Linked DNA regions of Canis lupus familiaris. The protein of the gene in region 1 purifies or fractionates together with the protein of each later gene. This does not show direct contact. Links are inferred from orthologs where the notes say so. Each region holds a gene or a part of one and is shown on either strand. Other genes may lie near its edges. The genes, in order: GP6 and LYN.

The links.
Region 2: the proteins of GP6 (region 1) and LYN purify together in Homo sapiens (affinity purification with western blotting; 5 studies listed by BioGRID and IntAct, with this or other methods). This does not show direct contact. The link is inferred for Canis lupus familiaris from reciprocal best matches to the Homo sapiens genes GP6 and LYN.

The regions. Positions count from the first base shown.
Region 1 is NC_049222.1:103,344,963-103,352,934, forward strand, and holds the start of GP6 (platelet glycoprotein VI), read left to right. Parts: upstream 1-3,328; 5' UTR 3,329-3,469; coding exon of another isoform or gene 3,470-3,503; intron 3,504-6,626; exon of another isoform or gene 6,627-6,730; 5' UTR 6,731-6,733; coding exon 6,734-6,878; intron 6,879-6,992; coding exon 6,993-7,250; intron 7,251-7,972.
Region 2 is NC_049250.1:7,827,469-7,835,704, forward strand, and holds the start of LYN (tyrosine-protein kinase Lyn), read left to right. Parts: upstream 1-3,482; 5' UTR 3,483-3,564; intron 3,565-8,236. UniProt on the Homo sapiens protein: Non-receptor tyrosine-protein kinase that transmits signals from cell surface receptors and plays an important role in the regulation of innate and adaptive immune responses, hematopoiesis, responses to growth factors and cytokines, integrin signaling, but also responses to DNA damage and genotoxic agents.

The DNA.
Region 1 (7,972 bases):
TGCGCCACCCAGGGATCCCTGAATGGATAAATTAATCCAACAAGAACTCAATAACAGATCTTTACTGTTTATTAATTCCTACAACCACTTGCCCCTGAAAATGGATACCTTCCCATTGTGATTGGGGTCTAGGCCATTGTTGTCTTAATTCTCCTTTTCCTCCTCTGCTGATGTTGTCATTGGGTCAAACATGGTATGTCTTAAAGATGGGAGGGTTAACCAGGGAGGGCTTTGGTGGGTCCCCTACCAACACTGATTGCTGGCTCTCCACAGGAAACATTGAAAATGAGACCAAGAACCAGGTGAAGTGTAAGAGGGAGGAGAATTTGGACTCTTCCTCATAGAAAATGTTATATCTTATTTCTCAGACCTGCCTTAATACTTTTATAACCTTTTACTCAGCTACATCCCAGTTATGGACTTCTGGGAAGAAATCAATGTAAAGGGGAGTGAGAATGAGGGGCAGCTAGATAGGGGGAAAGAATATGTTCAGGGAAAATAGAAGACATCCTGGAGGGAGCAGAGAAGTGTTGGGGGGGAGGGAACCACCCTACTGGATGTGGTGTCATTGCCTTACATATTTCAGTCAGCCATCCCTGAAATACTGATTACAGGATTGGATAATTTTCAGGGTCTCGCCGCATTTCTCCTTGCAGATGATGTCTTGGAGGACATCCAACTTAGGGACAGACAGATGGACATGCATGTGAGTCTCTCCTCAGCTACCTCTTCTGCTCTAATCACCTTCTACAGATTCTCCTTTTTACTTTGTATTTCTGTGCTGACAGGACCCTATAGAGGAAGATCCTCAAGAGGTGACCTATGTTCAGCTACACCAGAAGGCCCTCACAAGGAGTGTGGATACATTTTTCTCCTGAACTAATGAGAACTTCTCTGGCCAGCCCTGTGTGTATGCCACCCTCACCTTGTCCTGAGTGCAGAGCCAGGACTGCCCATATAGACTCCAGTATTCAAGTGAGCCTTAACAAAGGTGCAGCTCAATGGGGTGTCCTACTTATGTCCCTCAACACAAGCTATCAGCTTGTAACTCCCCAAAGACTCAAGACTAGAGTCAACTTGTCAACTGTAAAGAAATTCCAGGACCGATCAAATATCTCTCAACAGATTGCTGGTTCCTTGTACAGTTACCCATTCAGTTGTGGAACTAGAGGGTATTATGCTGAGTGAAGTAAGTCAATTGGAGAAGGACAATCATTATATGGTTTCACTCATATGGGGAATATAAAAAATAGTGAAAGAGATTACAGGGGAAAGGAGGGAAAATGAGTGGGAAAAATTAGAGAGGGTGACAAAACATGAGAGACTCCTAACTGAGAAATGAACAAGGAATAGTAGAAGGGGAGGCGGGCGGGGGGATGGGGTGACTGGGTGATGGGTGATGGACTGAGGAGGGCACTCGACGGGATGAGCATTGGGTGTCATACTATATGTTGGCAAATCGAACTTCAATTAAAAATATATTTAAGGGGATCCCTGGGTGGCGCAGAGGTTTGGCGCCCGCCTTTGGTCCAAGGCACGATCCTGGAGACCTGGGATCGAATCCCACGTCGGGCTCCCGGTGCATGGAGCCTGCTTCTCCCTCTGCCTATGTCTCTGCCTCTCTCTCTCTCTGTGTGTGACTATAATAAATAAATAAAAAATTAAAAAAAATATATATTCAAAAAAAAAGAAAGCAAAGTGGAGTGACCCACAGGAGCAGGTGTAAAGATGCTTTGGGTCACTGAGCAGACATAATGTCTAGGCATGTTTAAAGAGCACTCATTGGTACCAAATACAAAGGAAAGTCATGAAGTGACTGTGGGAGAAGGAACCAGTACAGAGAATCTGGATGGCCATTTGGCAGTGAGTAAATTGAAGATGCACCTAACTCAAGATTTGACAATTTCCTAGTGGATACATATTTTAAAGATATTCTCACATATGTCCAGAGGGGTGCATGAGGAATGATATTTATCTCAGCATTGTTTACAGCAGAGATATTTGGACATAATGTGGCTATCCATCATTGGGACAGTGAGAGGACAAATGTGTTGAAGCAAGTACCTGTTCTGCAAACTTATGAATGGTCTGAAAACACTGAGTGTGCAATGGAAAGACAATGACTTCCACAGCATTACACAACTTACTACACAATACAATTTAAAAGATATAAAATAAAGCTTTGCAGGGATGAATGAATTCACATGGACTATTTCAGAGCTGCTCCTTGGAGATGGAGAATAAAAATGAGAACCATAGGGCAGAGATGAATTACAGAAGAGAGTGATTACCTACATGCATGTGTGCCTGTGCTAAACCAAAGGAAACCGATTATTCAGCTCCCAGAACCCAAGCTCTAACTAGAAAAATACATTTTCTTTCTTTTTTAAAGATTTTTATTTATTTGTTCATGACACACACACACACACACACACACACACACACACAGAGGCAGAGACACAGGCAGAGGGAGAAGCAGGCTCCATTCAGGGAGCCTGACATGGGACTCTATCCCGGGTCTCCAGGATCACGCCTGGGCTGAAGGCGGTGCTAAGCCGCTGAGCCACCCAGGCTACCCAAAAAATACATTTTCTTCTAAGTTCAGGTTTCCCTGTTTGAATGGGACTAAAGGTCCACCTGTTTCTCAGTCTTGTGTGAGGGTCAACGAAGTAGTGACTGAAAAGTGAGTAGGTTTACAGACATATTTGTGCACCCAAGTTTATCTTGTCCTCAGAGTCCCTCAGTGATTTAACCCAGTGGTTCTCGACTGGCCATGGTTTTGTCCCCCAGGGGACATCTGAAGATGTCCAGAGACTCGTTGGTCATCACAACTGGAGGGGGAGTTGTGCTAGTGATTTCTAGTGGATGGAGGCCAGAGATACTGCTGAGCCTCGCAGAAGCACAAGACAGCCCACCCCCACTCCAACAGGCACCTGGCTCCAATTGTCAACACTGCCAAGGTTGGGATACCCTGATCTGACCCCTATAATCTCTTCAGTCTTGGCTTTTTGCTCCTTGATTCTAGCCACATTAATCACTTCCCACTTACTTGAAAATGCCAGGCTCTTTGCCTCATCAAGGCTTTGGGGCAATGCTGAACGTATTGTTCTTCATCCATGGATATTTCTCATCACCAGGTATAATCTCAAATGTCACCCCTCCAAAGGAAAGCTCCATGAAACTGTTCCTGTTAATGAGATCCATCAGATAATATTCCTACTCCATGCCTGAAGATGCAGACATGGTGTGGTTCTAGGCTGGTGACAGAAGATAAATGAGCTTCTGTGAACTTGTGTGCAAGTCACTCTACTGAGGGCATGGCTCCAGCTTGATGATCCTCACTTAGGAAAAGCCAGGCAGATCCAGGAAGGGAGGAGAGGGCTCTGCATCCTCATCACATCCGATGTCTCTGCTCCAGCCCCTGCAGCTTCCCTCCTGGGTTACAGAGCTTTGGATGGGCTGAAGAACCATGGCCCCATCCCTGCCTGCCCTTCTGTGTCTTGGTGAGTACTGAGGATTGATCTGGGAAATGCTGAGGCACAGGCAGTAGGCTATGAGACTAAGAATGTTTAAAAAATTGCATCAGAAATGAATTTCAGGGCAATTGGTGACCTCCGAGGGCCCCTTCATTTCTTGGTTGGGAAAACTGGGACCTGGGAGGTGGTGTTTGTTATTCTGTTCTATTCCCTTCTTGGCTAGGTCAGGAAATAAATAGGTCTTCCAGTTTTGGCTACAACTTTGTCTCTATACACTGTGTTTTTTAAAAAAATTATTTATTTATTTATTCATTTAATTTTTTAAAAAGATGTTATTTATTTATTCATGAGACACACAGAGAGAGGCAGAGAAATAGGCAGAGGGAGAAGCAGGCTCCATGCAGGGAGCCTATGTGGGACTCAATCCCAGGACTATGGGATTGCACCCTGAGTCAAAGGCAGGTGCTCAACCGCTGAGCCACCCATGCATCCCTATTTAAGTTTTTTTTTTATGTGGACTTGGTGACATCAGGAGTAGATTATAGGTTTGTCAGCAAACCTGATGGCCCTGGAGAAAATAATCCTGCCATTTGCAACAACACGAATGTTCCTTGAGGGCATTATGCTAAGTGAAATAAGCCAGACAAGGAAAGAAAATGCTGCATGATCTCACTTATATGTGGAATCTAAAAAAGTCAAACTCACTAAGGCAGAGAGTAGACTGGTGGTTGCCAGGGGCTAGGGGAGGGGAAAAACAGGGAGATAGGTGGACAGAGTACAAGCTTCTAGTTATAAGATGAATAAACTCTGGGGATCTAATGCACAGCACAGTGACTATAGGCAATAATACTACAGAATATACTTGAAATTTACTGAGAGAGTAGATCTTAAGCATTTTCATCAAACCAAACCAAACCAAATCAATCTATGCAAGGTGGAAGATGAGGTAATTAGGTTGATTGTGGTGATCATTTGACAGTGTGTACATCTATCAAATCATCATGTCAGATACCCTAGATAGACAGTTTTTCTTTGCCACTTATACTTCCATAAGGCTGGAGTAAGAGTCTCTCAGAATGAGATTGGTGGTAGGATTATGTGTTTTTTTATTGCCTGCTCCTGCAGGTCTTGTGCAGTTTCCTTATTCAGGGGAGTCTTATTGCTAAAAGGACAGAAGCTCCAAGGCCAAGCAGGAAGGAACAGCTGTATTATGTGGATAAGAAAACAAACCACGAGCACAAACCGCCTGTCAGTCAGTCATTAACACACACTCATGTGGCATTTACTGTGGGCTAGATACGACAAGGTAGGCCCTCTCAATACCCCCATTTTACAGATGAGAAGGCTGAGGCTCAGAGGCAGTTTAGAAATTTGTTTAGGGGGATCCCTGGGTGGCGCAGCGGTTTGGCGCCTGTCTTTGGCTCAGGGCACGATCCTGGAGACCCGGGATCGAATCCCACGTCAGGCTCCCGGTGCATGGAGCCTGCTTCTCCCTCTGCTTGTGTCTCTGCCTTTCTCTCTCTCTCTCTCTGTGTGTGACTATCATAAATAAAAAAAAAAAAAAAAAAGAAACTTGTTTAGGTCACACATCTAGGGATCAAATAAACTAAGTTTATTTGAGTTTAGTGCCAAGTTCACATTGTTGGTAACTAAAATATGTGGCTGGTGTCTGAGTCTACCTTTTCCCAGCTGTAGGATGGTGGACAGGATACTGTCTCATCTCCATGGCCCGATTATGAAATGGGACTAATCATGGTCTCTAACCAGTAGTACTGTGGTGATTCAGAGTCCATATAGAAGTGCTCAGAAGGGTGCTGGGAGTATTTCTGGTCCTGTTAGAAGTTTGGAGTAGAAACCCACAAAAGGACCAAGGTGGGGTTGTGTTGGGCAGCGGACAAAGATGTGGGTAGAGCTTGGGTACGCATACCAGGTAAAGTACAGCATGCTCAGTGAAATTTAATTTCAGATAAACAACAAATAATTTTTAAAGTCTAAGTATATACCATTATATTTCATGGGTCATACTATACAAAAAAATTCATTGTTTATCGGAAATTCATATTTAAGTGGGAGTCCTATGTTTTTATTTGCTAAATCTGGCAATCCTAGCAAGGCTAAAATGGGGAATGCTACCAACACAACAAAAAAGTTGAACAAAAAAAAGTTCAGCTTGAAAGAAGAAAAGCTTTGGTCAATGTAGAGAAGGTAGAAGGCAAAATGCGGCAAAGTTACCTGCAAGGCAGAAAATGGAGTCTATAGATTATGTGGTTTGATAGGTGTGCAAAAGTACATGGGGAGGCTATTTAGAAGTGCGGAAAGAATTAGACACAGGGTCGAGGAAAAACTATGCAGAGGCACTAAACTGGACAAATATTGCTTCTAGGGAAAATAATTAGGAAAAATATACAGGTGCAATACTACACTCCTTTTTTTTTTTTCAATACTACACTCCTGAGTTGTGAATAATGTTTGCACAATCATAATAATTGCAGGGTATTGATTTAAACAAAAAATTAAAACAATGGGAAATTCATGATTAAGACAGCCAGTGATCTCTAGACATGATACAATGCAAGAGAGCCTATCTGGACCTACTGCACAGCATGGTGATTATAGCCAAGAACACCTTGTTGTTGAACATTCTAAATGTTCTCACCACAAAAAAGAAATGGTAATTATGTGACAGAAGGATGGAAGTATTAGCTAATGTTGTGGTGGTAATCATTTTGTGATATATAAATGTATTAAATCAACACCTACACCTTAAATTTACACAATGTTATGTATCGTATATCAATTATATCTTGATAAAGCTGAGAAAAAAAATAAAGACCACATCCTGCACACAGCCCCCTTTCCAGAGAGGAGATAATTCCCTTTACAGTTGTCAACCAGTGTGTGCATGGGGAGGAGGGGCAAGGAATTCGTGACTGGCTTTTTAAAAATTGTAATAAAATAACAAACTCAACATAAACTTTATCATTAATGACATTTAGTACATTCACAATGCATACAACCATCACTTCTATCTCATTCTAAGGCACTGTCACCAGTCTAAAAGGAAATCATGCCCATGAAAATCACTCCTCAATGCCCCTGCCACCCACCCCCCAGTTTCTGGCAACCACTAATCTCTCCATGTCTGAGCAGATTTACCTAGTGAGCATGTTTCAGATAAATGGAATCATACAATATGTGGCCTTCTGTGGCTGGCTTCTTCTGGCACTCAAATTATGTGAGTGTGTGTCCTTAAGCAAATGAGGACAGAAGAAAGTGACTGCCTGAAGATGTGGCATTACCTGCTCTGCGTGCAGAAGTGTGGCCTCCAGGAGATGCTAGCAGGTGGTGCTTTTCTTCTCTGCTCAGGGCTGTGTCTGGGGCAGGTGGTGCAAGCACAGCTTGGTGAGTCCTTCCCCTGGAATCCTCTGGATCTGGGTGCCTGCACAAGGGCCAGGAGGGTGGGAGGAGGGGAGCACCCAGGAGGAGGTCTGTTTGGAAATTCTGCTTCCCTTCCAGGTACCCTGCCCAAGCCCTCCCTCCAGGCTCTGCCTAGCTCCCTAGCACCCCTGAAGACGCAGGTGACCATCCGCTGCCAGGGGCCTCCAGACGTGGACTTGTACCGCCTGGAGAAGCTGAGGTCCCGGAAATACCAGGATCGGCCTGTCCTCTTCATCAAGACCATGGAGGAAAGTTTCGCTGGGTGTTACCGCTGCTCCTACCAGAACGGGACCCTCTGGTCTCCCCCCAGCAACCAGCTGGAGCTGGTGGCCACTGGTACCTGGAAGGGCATGGGAGGGGGCCACCTGTGGCCTCAGGGCTCCAGGAGGGTGAAGAGGGGGATGATGATGACAGCGAACCCCGAGTCCTGGGAGGCTGGGGTTAGGGTGGGGAGCTATGTTTAGGGGAGGTGGCAAAATCCACAGTGATTCACATAAGGAATATGTCAATGCAATACCTTTCCAAAACAATCAAAATCAATGCGAAAACATCCACACTGAACAAAGCATCATACTTTTTTTAAAAGAAGATTTTATTTATTTATTTGAGAGAAAGAAGAGAGGGAGAAGCAGACTCCCCTCTGAGCAGGAAGCTGGAACCCGAGCTGATTCAGGACCCCAGGATCATGACCTGAACTGAAAGCAGTTGCTTAACCAACTGAGCCACCCAGGTCCCGCAAAACATTTTAAGTAAAGACAGAACCTGGCAGTGTCCTTTCAAGCCATGCTTAAGCCTTATGCAAAAGGCAACATGTATACCCTCTATCCACGTTCTAATGCATTATTGTTTATTTTTATTTTTTTGGTGGAATAAAGTGTTCTCAGCTTATGCTTTTATTTCTAATGCATTTTTATTTATTTAATTTAATTTAATTTAATTTAATTTTATTTTATTTTTTAAAGGATTTTGTTTATTTATTCCTGAGAAACACAGAGAGAAGCAGAGACATAGACATAGGGAGAAGTAGACAGGGGCTCGCAGAGAGCCCATTGTGGGAC
Region 2 (8,236 bases), on another chromosome or scaffold:
AGAACTTTTTTGTTTAAAGATTTTATTTTTAAGCAATCTCTACACCCAGTGTAGGGCTCGAACTCATAACCCCGAGAACAACGGTCGCATGCTCTACCGACTGAGCCAGCCAGGCACCCCCTAAAGTACCTAATAGAATTTTTGACAAGTGCAGTGGGAAAGAGACAAATACAAGAAGCAATGGCTTCCAAAGAGGGGTTTGCTATTTATCAGCAGTTGAGGACAGAAAGCTACCCTGTGAAACAAAGGCAACCATGTTGGACAGGAGCTAAGTCTAGTTTACCAAGAATGTCGCACACTGCCAAGTGCTCTAGATATCTAGAAAACAACGATTCCCATGGAGTCTTTAAATAAAGCTTTTCCAAAACATGGAACTTTCATGGCACTTATGGAAAACAAATATAGAGGGTGAGTGAGGAAGTATTCAGTATATATGAATGCAACCTGAGAAGTGGGAATGAACATTGATTTTCCCCAAAAAAGTAAGAATAAAGAGACAAACTTAGGCAGGATGCTTGTATGTAAGGGGCCAGACGTGGTTAGAGCTGAGTGCAAGCCTAGCTCTGCCTGATGATGCTTTGTTCCTTGTTCCATCAGACATTTTACCAAAAAACACTGACAGGACATTCCAGATGGATTAACCAACACTAAACATCTTGCATCCCAGTCACATGCCTTTTGCCAGGATCTCAAGGACTTGTTGGTAATAGTAGCTATTTTAATTTAGGGCCAATATACTTGAAAGGTCATCCTGAAGAAAGGTCCAGAAAATGGACTCTCAGGTAGTGAATTATTCCATAGGACCCATGACAGATTCCACTCATTCATCCACTACCTTCCAACAGGTAACCCATCCCTTCCTCTTCAGCAGGAAACTAAGCGGCTACATACTAGTGAACGTCACAGGTATAAACCATCCTACTTCTTGTTTTTTGAGGCAGCAGATTGCAAACCTTGGCTGTCTGTTACCAGTAATAAACTACTGCTGTATAGGATTATGTTAAGGTGGCCACTCGACCGCGGGACCGTGGCTGTAGCCTCAAGGGGAGCTAGCCTCCTGAAAATGTTATTAATAACCCACACTTATAATAACCAAAGTAAGAATATACAGTGGGGAAAAGACAATCCCTTCAATAGATTGTGCTGGGAGAAAGAAATGGTTATATGCAAAAGAATGAAATTGGTCCACTTTCTTACATCATACACAAAAATAAACTCAAAATGAATTAAAGACCTAAACTGTAAGACCTGAAACTATAAGAGTCCTAGTAGAAAACAGAGACAGTAAACTTGGAGCTCAGCTAGAGCCATCTTTCTAGACGTGTCGCCTGAGGCAAGGGAAATAAAACCAAAAGTCAATTATTGGGACTACACCAAAATAAAAAGCTTCTGCACGGCAAAGGAAATATTTTAATGAAAAGGCAACCTCCTGAATGGGAGAAGATATTTGGAAATGATATATCTGATTCAAAACACAACTCAATGCCAAAAAAACGAAAATGATCCGATTAACAAACGAGCAGGGGACCTGAACAAATAGCTTGCCAAAGAAGACATACAGATGGCCAACAGACACATGAAAAGATGCTCAACTTCACTTATCTTCAGGGAAATACAAATTAAAATCCCAATGGGACAGCACCCCACACCTGTTAGAATGACTATAATTTAAAAAAGGGCAAAAAATAACAAGGGTTGGTGAGGATGTGGAGAAAAAGGAATCCTTGTGCACTGTGGGTGGGGATGTAAATTGATGCAGCCCCTGTGGAAAACAGTATAGAGGTCCCTCAAAAAATTAAAAATAATATGTACATATATACACACACAATAGAACATTATTCAGTCATAAAAATAGAACGAGATCTTATCATTTGTGACAGGGATGGATCTAGAGGGCATTATGCTGATTGAAATAAGTCAGACAGAGAAAGACAAATATCATATGATTTCACTTATATGTGGACTCTAAAAAGCAAAACAAATGAACAAAGCAGAAACAGACCGCCAAACAACAGAGGGCAAACTGATGGTTGCCAGAGGGAATGGGGGTGGGAGGATGGGCAAAGGAGGCGCAGAGGAGTGGGAACTAAGAGGCTTCCAGTTACGGAATGAGTAAGTCAGGGGGATGAAAGGTACAGCACAGGGAACGCAGTCAATGGTATTACAAGAGCGTTGTGTGGAGACGGATGGCAGCTACACTAGTGAGCCCGGCATCAACGGACAGGCTGGTTGGATCACCATCAAGGTGACAGTGTAGATCAAGTATACCTTGATTTAAAAGATATTTTAAAAAGAAGAATCACAGAAAAAAGGAGAACATGTTAAAGGAAGGTAGTCAATCTAAAGCGGTTAGCACGATGCCCGGCACCCGATAGGCCCGGTGTGTTTGCTATTATTAATACAAAGACTGAATCTCCTCCAGGGCGCTGTTTATTTCCAGGGAAGTCCCACAGCGGACTGTAACGCTGGGAGCCCAGCGCATCTCGCTTAGAGCAAGGGGCCGCCGCTGTGACTGGGGCTAATATCATAACCTTGGGTACGTGTGCGGCATTTACTGGGGTTGGAGCCTGGGCTTGACAACCCACAAACATCGATTATGCGCTTGCTGTGTGCCAGGCAGTGCGCTCCACGCGAGGACGCGGACAGCAGCGGAGAACCGCGGCTGTGCGCTGGGCACGGAGCGAGCCCCTCGCGGGAGGCATTTATTCCTTCCTCCCAGTGACGCTGCGAGGTAGGCACCCTCATCTCCATCCTCCTGGGAGGAAATCGAAGTCGTGAGGCACTGAATGATTGGGCAGGCCGTTCTCCCCCGGCCTTACACCCTGAAAGTCCCCGTGTCCCCCGTGAAGGAGCTTACTCTGCACCCGCTACTAAGCGCTCCGCGAGACCCCGGCCTCCGCTCCGCACCGCATCCCCCTTCCCGAGCCCTCCAGATGTCGGGGATCCGAGCGCGCCCCGCCCCCGCTGCCAGGGGCTCCCGGTTCCCCAACACCTTACGGCGAATCGGTTGGAAAGGAAGCAAAGGAGGCGCGCGCGAGAGGCTCTGCCGCCGGGCTCCACGTCCGGGCTCCACGTCCGGGCTCCACGTCCAGGCCCCGGAGGATGCCCCCGGACGCTCCTTCCGCCCCCGCTACGGGAGGAGGTCGGACCCCGGCCGCTCCCCTCCGCGGAGCCGCACGCCGAGGCGAGGTTTCCCTGCCTTCAGGGCGCGCGCGACGGCCACACCGGAGACCCAAACCTTGGGCAGGGGCCAAGCGGTCACTTCCCCGCCTCCCGGCGCGGTATGCAAATCCGAGCACCAGGAAGTAGCTGGGACCTCTCGGCCGAGCCCAGCGACAGCCAGTTCCTCTCCCGCCGCTCGGGGCCGTCCGCCGCTCGCCCCCTGCCGTGGCGCCTCCGGGCCCCGCGCGCGCAGCCTCCGGGCCGCGACCCCGCGCCCCGCGCCCCGCGCCCGCAGCCTGCCCCGCGCCGGCCCCGCCGGGCCGCCCCGTCGCGCCCCCCGCCCTGCGCTCGAGTCACCGTGGAGCGCCGCCGCCGCCGCCCCGCAGCTTGCAGCCGGAGCTGGTGAGTGCCCGGCGCGGGCCCCGCCGTGAGGGCGCCAGATGCCTCCAGCCCGTGGGTGGCCGGGCCCTGGGGCGCGGGGGACGCTCCGCAGGTGTCTCCCCGCCGCGGCGCGCAGGGGGGCGGGGGGGCGCAGGGAGGGGCGCGGGGGAGGGGAGGCGCGGGGCGGGCGCGCCGGGGACCCGGGACTCCTCGGCTCGCGCGGTCGGGTCTCGCCGCGGGGCCCCGGGCTCCCCGAGGTGAGGGACGGGGCTCGGCCCGGGCTCCCCGCCAGGCCGGCGGGCGGCTGCGCTCCTCGGGAGCCCCGGGCGGAGCGTGAGGTCGGGGGGCTGCGGCCGAGGCTGGTGCGCGCCCTCCCGCTGAGCCCGGCGCCTCCCGGCCGGCGGAGGAGCAGTCCCGAGCCTCCCGCGGCCCAGAGGAAGCGAGAGTTATTTTAAGAATTCAGGGGTTGCCTTTCCTGCGCCCTGGGGGGAGGGCGTAGGCGTCAGTTCCCGCTTTCCTGCGTTATCTTGGCCACTGCGGCATCTCCTCCGAGCCGCGCATATATGTTCCCACTAATAGCTGACGTGGTCGTCTGGTTGTGTTTCCATTTCTCCGTGTATCCGTGTGTGTGTGTGTGTGTGTGTGTGTGTGAGAGAGAGAGAGAGAGAGAGAGAGAGAGAAGAGAATTATCACAAACCCACCCAACTTCTTTGCCAAAAACCCCAGTTGAATTTGGGCCTTCCAGTTTTCTAGCTGAGTGTCAACCTGGGCCTATTATTGAAATTACCTGTATGGGTTTTTTCGTCTCTGGGAGAACATATTTACCTTCTGAGCTATTTATTGCATGTAAAGCCCCGAGTGCGTACATAGGCATTTCATAAATGGCGCTGTTATTATTTATTGCAGATAATTCTTTTTTTTTTAATTTTTTAAAAATGTTTATTTATTTATGATAGTCACAGAGAGAGAGGCAGAGACACAGGCAGAGGGAGAAGCAGGCTCCATGCAGGGAGCCCGATGTGGGATTCGATCCCGGGTCTCCAGGATCGCGCCCTGGGCCAAAGGCAGGCGCCAAACCCCTGCGCCACCCAGGGATCCCTATTGCAGATAATTCTATCCGTTAAAACACGGTTCCCTGGTTCTTCACAATTTGTTGATTTTAAGTCTAAGACTACATGTCTGATTCAGCCAACTGACCTTCCTAGCTAGTAAAGCTGCTTAATAAATACACCAGAGGTCTGCTGTCTGCAAAGCTAGGGTCTGGGAGTCTCACGCTAAGCACTAGTTAATGATGTTTGACTTACTTCTGATTTGTTGGCTGCCCCCCAGGCTGGCTGCCTGCAGAGCTCAGGAGGGCAGGCCTGTTGTCCCCGTATCTTAAAAGCTAAAGCACTGCAGAGGGTAATAGGCACTGAAAGAGTATAGGAATTCCCTAAGTCCCCAGAAGCCCTTCCTAAGTAAAGTAAACTCTGCTGGAAAAGGGTGGGGTTCAGTTAGTCCTGAACTGAAGGTTTTCCTTTGAAGGTAAGGAGGTAAATGTCTTGAGGCTCTTGGTGACCTGGCTTCTTTGGATACAGAGTGAGGTAACTCTCTTCCTGAGCGAAGTGTAGAGGTCAGCCCATGTAAGGAAAGAAACAGGCTCTGGAAAACCCACGTTTGGGTCTCTCCCATCATTTACCAGAACTGTGATATGGACTAAGTTGGGTAAATGCCTTGGCCCTTTGATTCAGCTAACATTTCCTTCGGAGCAGTATTCAGTTATATTCTGATTCGTTTGCATGTAGAGTCCGTATTCACCACTGCAATGAAAGGTGGGTGAAAACGACTTTGTCTGTCTCGTCCAAAACACTAGCCCCAGTGCCTATCACAGTCCAGATTACTCGGAAGAGGGAGTGAAGTTTGGCTCTGAGTTTGGCTCTGTGCAAGGCCAAGGAACAAGGTGGTGGTTTCTAAAGCATTTGAACCTGGCCCTCTCTGTCCCGGTTTTTAAAACAGGGTTATTGTTGTTGTTGTTTAAGATTTTATTTATTCATGAGAGACACACAGGGAGCCTCTTGTGGGACTCGATCCTAGGACCTTGGGTTCACGACCTGAGCCAAAGGCAGATGCTCAGGTGAGCCACCCAGGTGCCCCTAAAACGGGGATTTTTGACTGTCAAGTTATCCCAGTGTCAGTGTTCTAAGTGGTAATCTCTACATAGGAAAGGTTATTGGGGTGTATCCCTGGGAGCAAGGGCTTGATTTGGAGTGATGTCATGTAGCCTGCAAAGGGAGTTTGCCCAATCAAAAAGACCCACTTTATCTTAGAGCTGTTGGTGTTGCCAAAATATGTGAAGACTTTGCAATACCCCTGCACCCCCAATGGCATTTTTTAGCAGAAAAGTGGTCCAGTTTTGTGAATCAGTGACTCTCTAAGCCCTTTAGTTTCTTTATATTTGTTTTAAAAATAAATCACCAGAACATGAGATACCAGTTGGTTCAAATGAATATATAGAGTTGTAAGTTAACAACATTAAGCTATACTATCCATAAACAAACCCATACAAATGTGAATTAGTATAAATAAGAACACAACAGTGTACATGTCTACAATAAGTATTGTTACATCTAGCTTACAATACTGATCTCAATGACCTCCACGTCCTCAGGCATGGATAATATTAACAGTGGAAGGTCACTACAGTCATTAGTTGGGACATTGACCGATGACACATTGATGACAATGGTGGTCTCACCTCTCTTGGGCTCTACCTGGCAATGACTGCTCACACCTTTCGCTTGTCAGAAGCTCTGAGCTCTGATTCCTGAGCTCTGATTTCATTTGAACCTCTCCTGGATCCCAGGGTAGGCAGGGACAGGTACAGAAAAAAGAGGTTTGGTGTCTAAGGTTACAGACCTGGTTAAGTGGCACTACTGGGCAGAGCAAGTGTGTTTTCTGCTCCAACTTTAGAACGTTCCCCACTTTTCTGCCTTTGCTCTGGTGGTAGGTACTCAATTACATAAAAGCAAAGAAATGATCACTTAATAAACATTATTAAATAGAGAACCACAGGGTAATTTTCTTCTATCACTTGATAATTGCACCATCAAGTAGGGCACTTAAGGCAAGCAAACTGAGGGAGATGGGTTTCTTTGCCTTTCAGTGTGCTTCCTGCTTGGGGAGGGGCTTCCTGCTTGGGAAGCTTTGGGAGGGGGTGGCTCTGATAACTGCCAGGGTGACACCTGTATTGGCTCTTGCCCAAGCGCTTCCAGTGACTGCCTTGGGAGCTATCAGGGCCTATTGGTTGATATAGAAGTGTGCAAGTAATACTTTACCAAAGGATTGCCTCCAGCCGCTGCTAGAAGTGTCTCCCATGAACCCTACAAGCCTCCTTGGGTGGTTGTTATAACAGTGAGAGCATCATTTGAGGTGAAAACATAACGTAGGGAGACAGGGCCCATAAGATACTCGTTAAAGCATGCACTCCTTTACTGAGCACCTGTGATGGGCCAGGCACCCTTCAAAGCCCACACTTCTACAATGGACACACATTGCCTACCATCTTTAAAGATTGGTGGTGAACAGAAGGGCATAGAAGAGGAAGTTTCTTTTTTTTTTTTTTTTCCAGTCAGAACTATTGAAAGATTTCTTACACCTGCCCAGTTTCCTGATACTTAAATTGTGAAATGTTGAGTTGACTCTATCATCATTTCTGAAATTTATTTTGAGTAAGTTCCCATTTAGGGGAGAAGCCCAAGTGTAGGAAATGTGTGGGAATCTGCCCGTTGAGGAATTAGAATTTTTGGAACAGCCCCATTTAAAGACTTGGACCTTCTTTTGGATGTCTTTGTTTACGTTAGCTGGAAGGGCTGTCATGTAATTTAGAATAGCAAGTTCAGATGATGACTTGAGATGAGGTGTTAGAAAGGTACGTCTATGCCGATCAGTTGCAGGGCCCAATAATATAGCCTTTATTTTTTGTTCTTAGACTTTCTCTTCAATCTAGTTCTCTGCTTCACTTTCTTTAGTACTTAGTAAGCTGTCAATGTTCATTATTTGCCACAAAGCTATTTCTTGGAAGTTCTATTTACCATCAGGATGTAGTTTCGTTTGTATAGAACTTTTCCAAAAGGTTGATTGTTTGACTGTCTTTATGAACAGTCACATAGTCCCAAGTCTCTCTTCTCTGGCCCAACCTCTCACAAGGTCCACAAATCATGAGTTGCCGTGATAGGAGCTGAACATTTATGGGAAGAGATTACTGATTCATGTCATGGTAACTGTTCATTTTTCATGATTCTGACTTATATAAATGATGTTTCATCAAAATATATGAATGAGGAAACCTTATAGAATCCATCTGAGGGTGTATTTCTTAATGCTATAGGCTCTGCCCCCATTGGGTTGTAGAACACTGGGCAGCAGTCTCCATTCTCGTAGCTTAGAGGGTCTTTTATTATTTTTTATTATTTTAAAATTTTTTATTTATTTATTCATGAGAGATACAGAGAGAGAAGCAGTGACATAGGTAGAAGGACAAGCAGGCTCCTGGCAGGGACCCCAGTGCGGAACTCGATCCCAGGACCCTGGGATCACGACCTGAGCCGAAGGCAGATGCTCAACCACTGAGCCATCCAGGGACCCTGAGAGGGTCTTTTAATTCTGTTTCATCTCCTTTTTACAGTTCACACCTCACACAAGTCAAATAATGCTG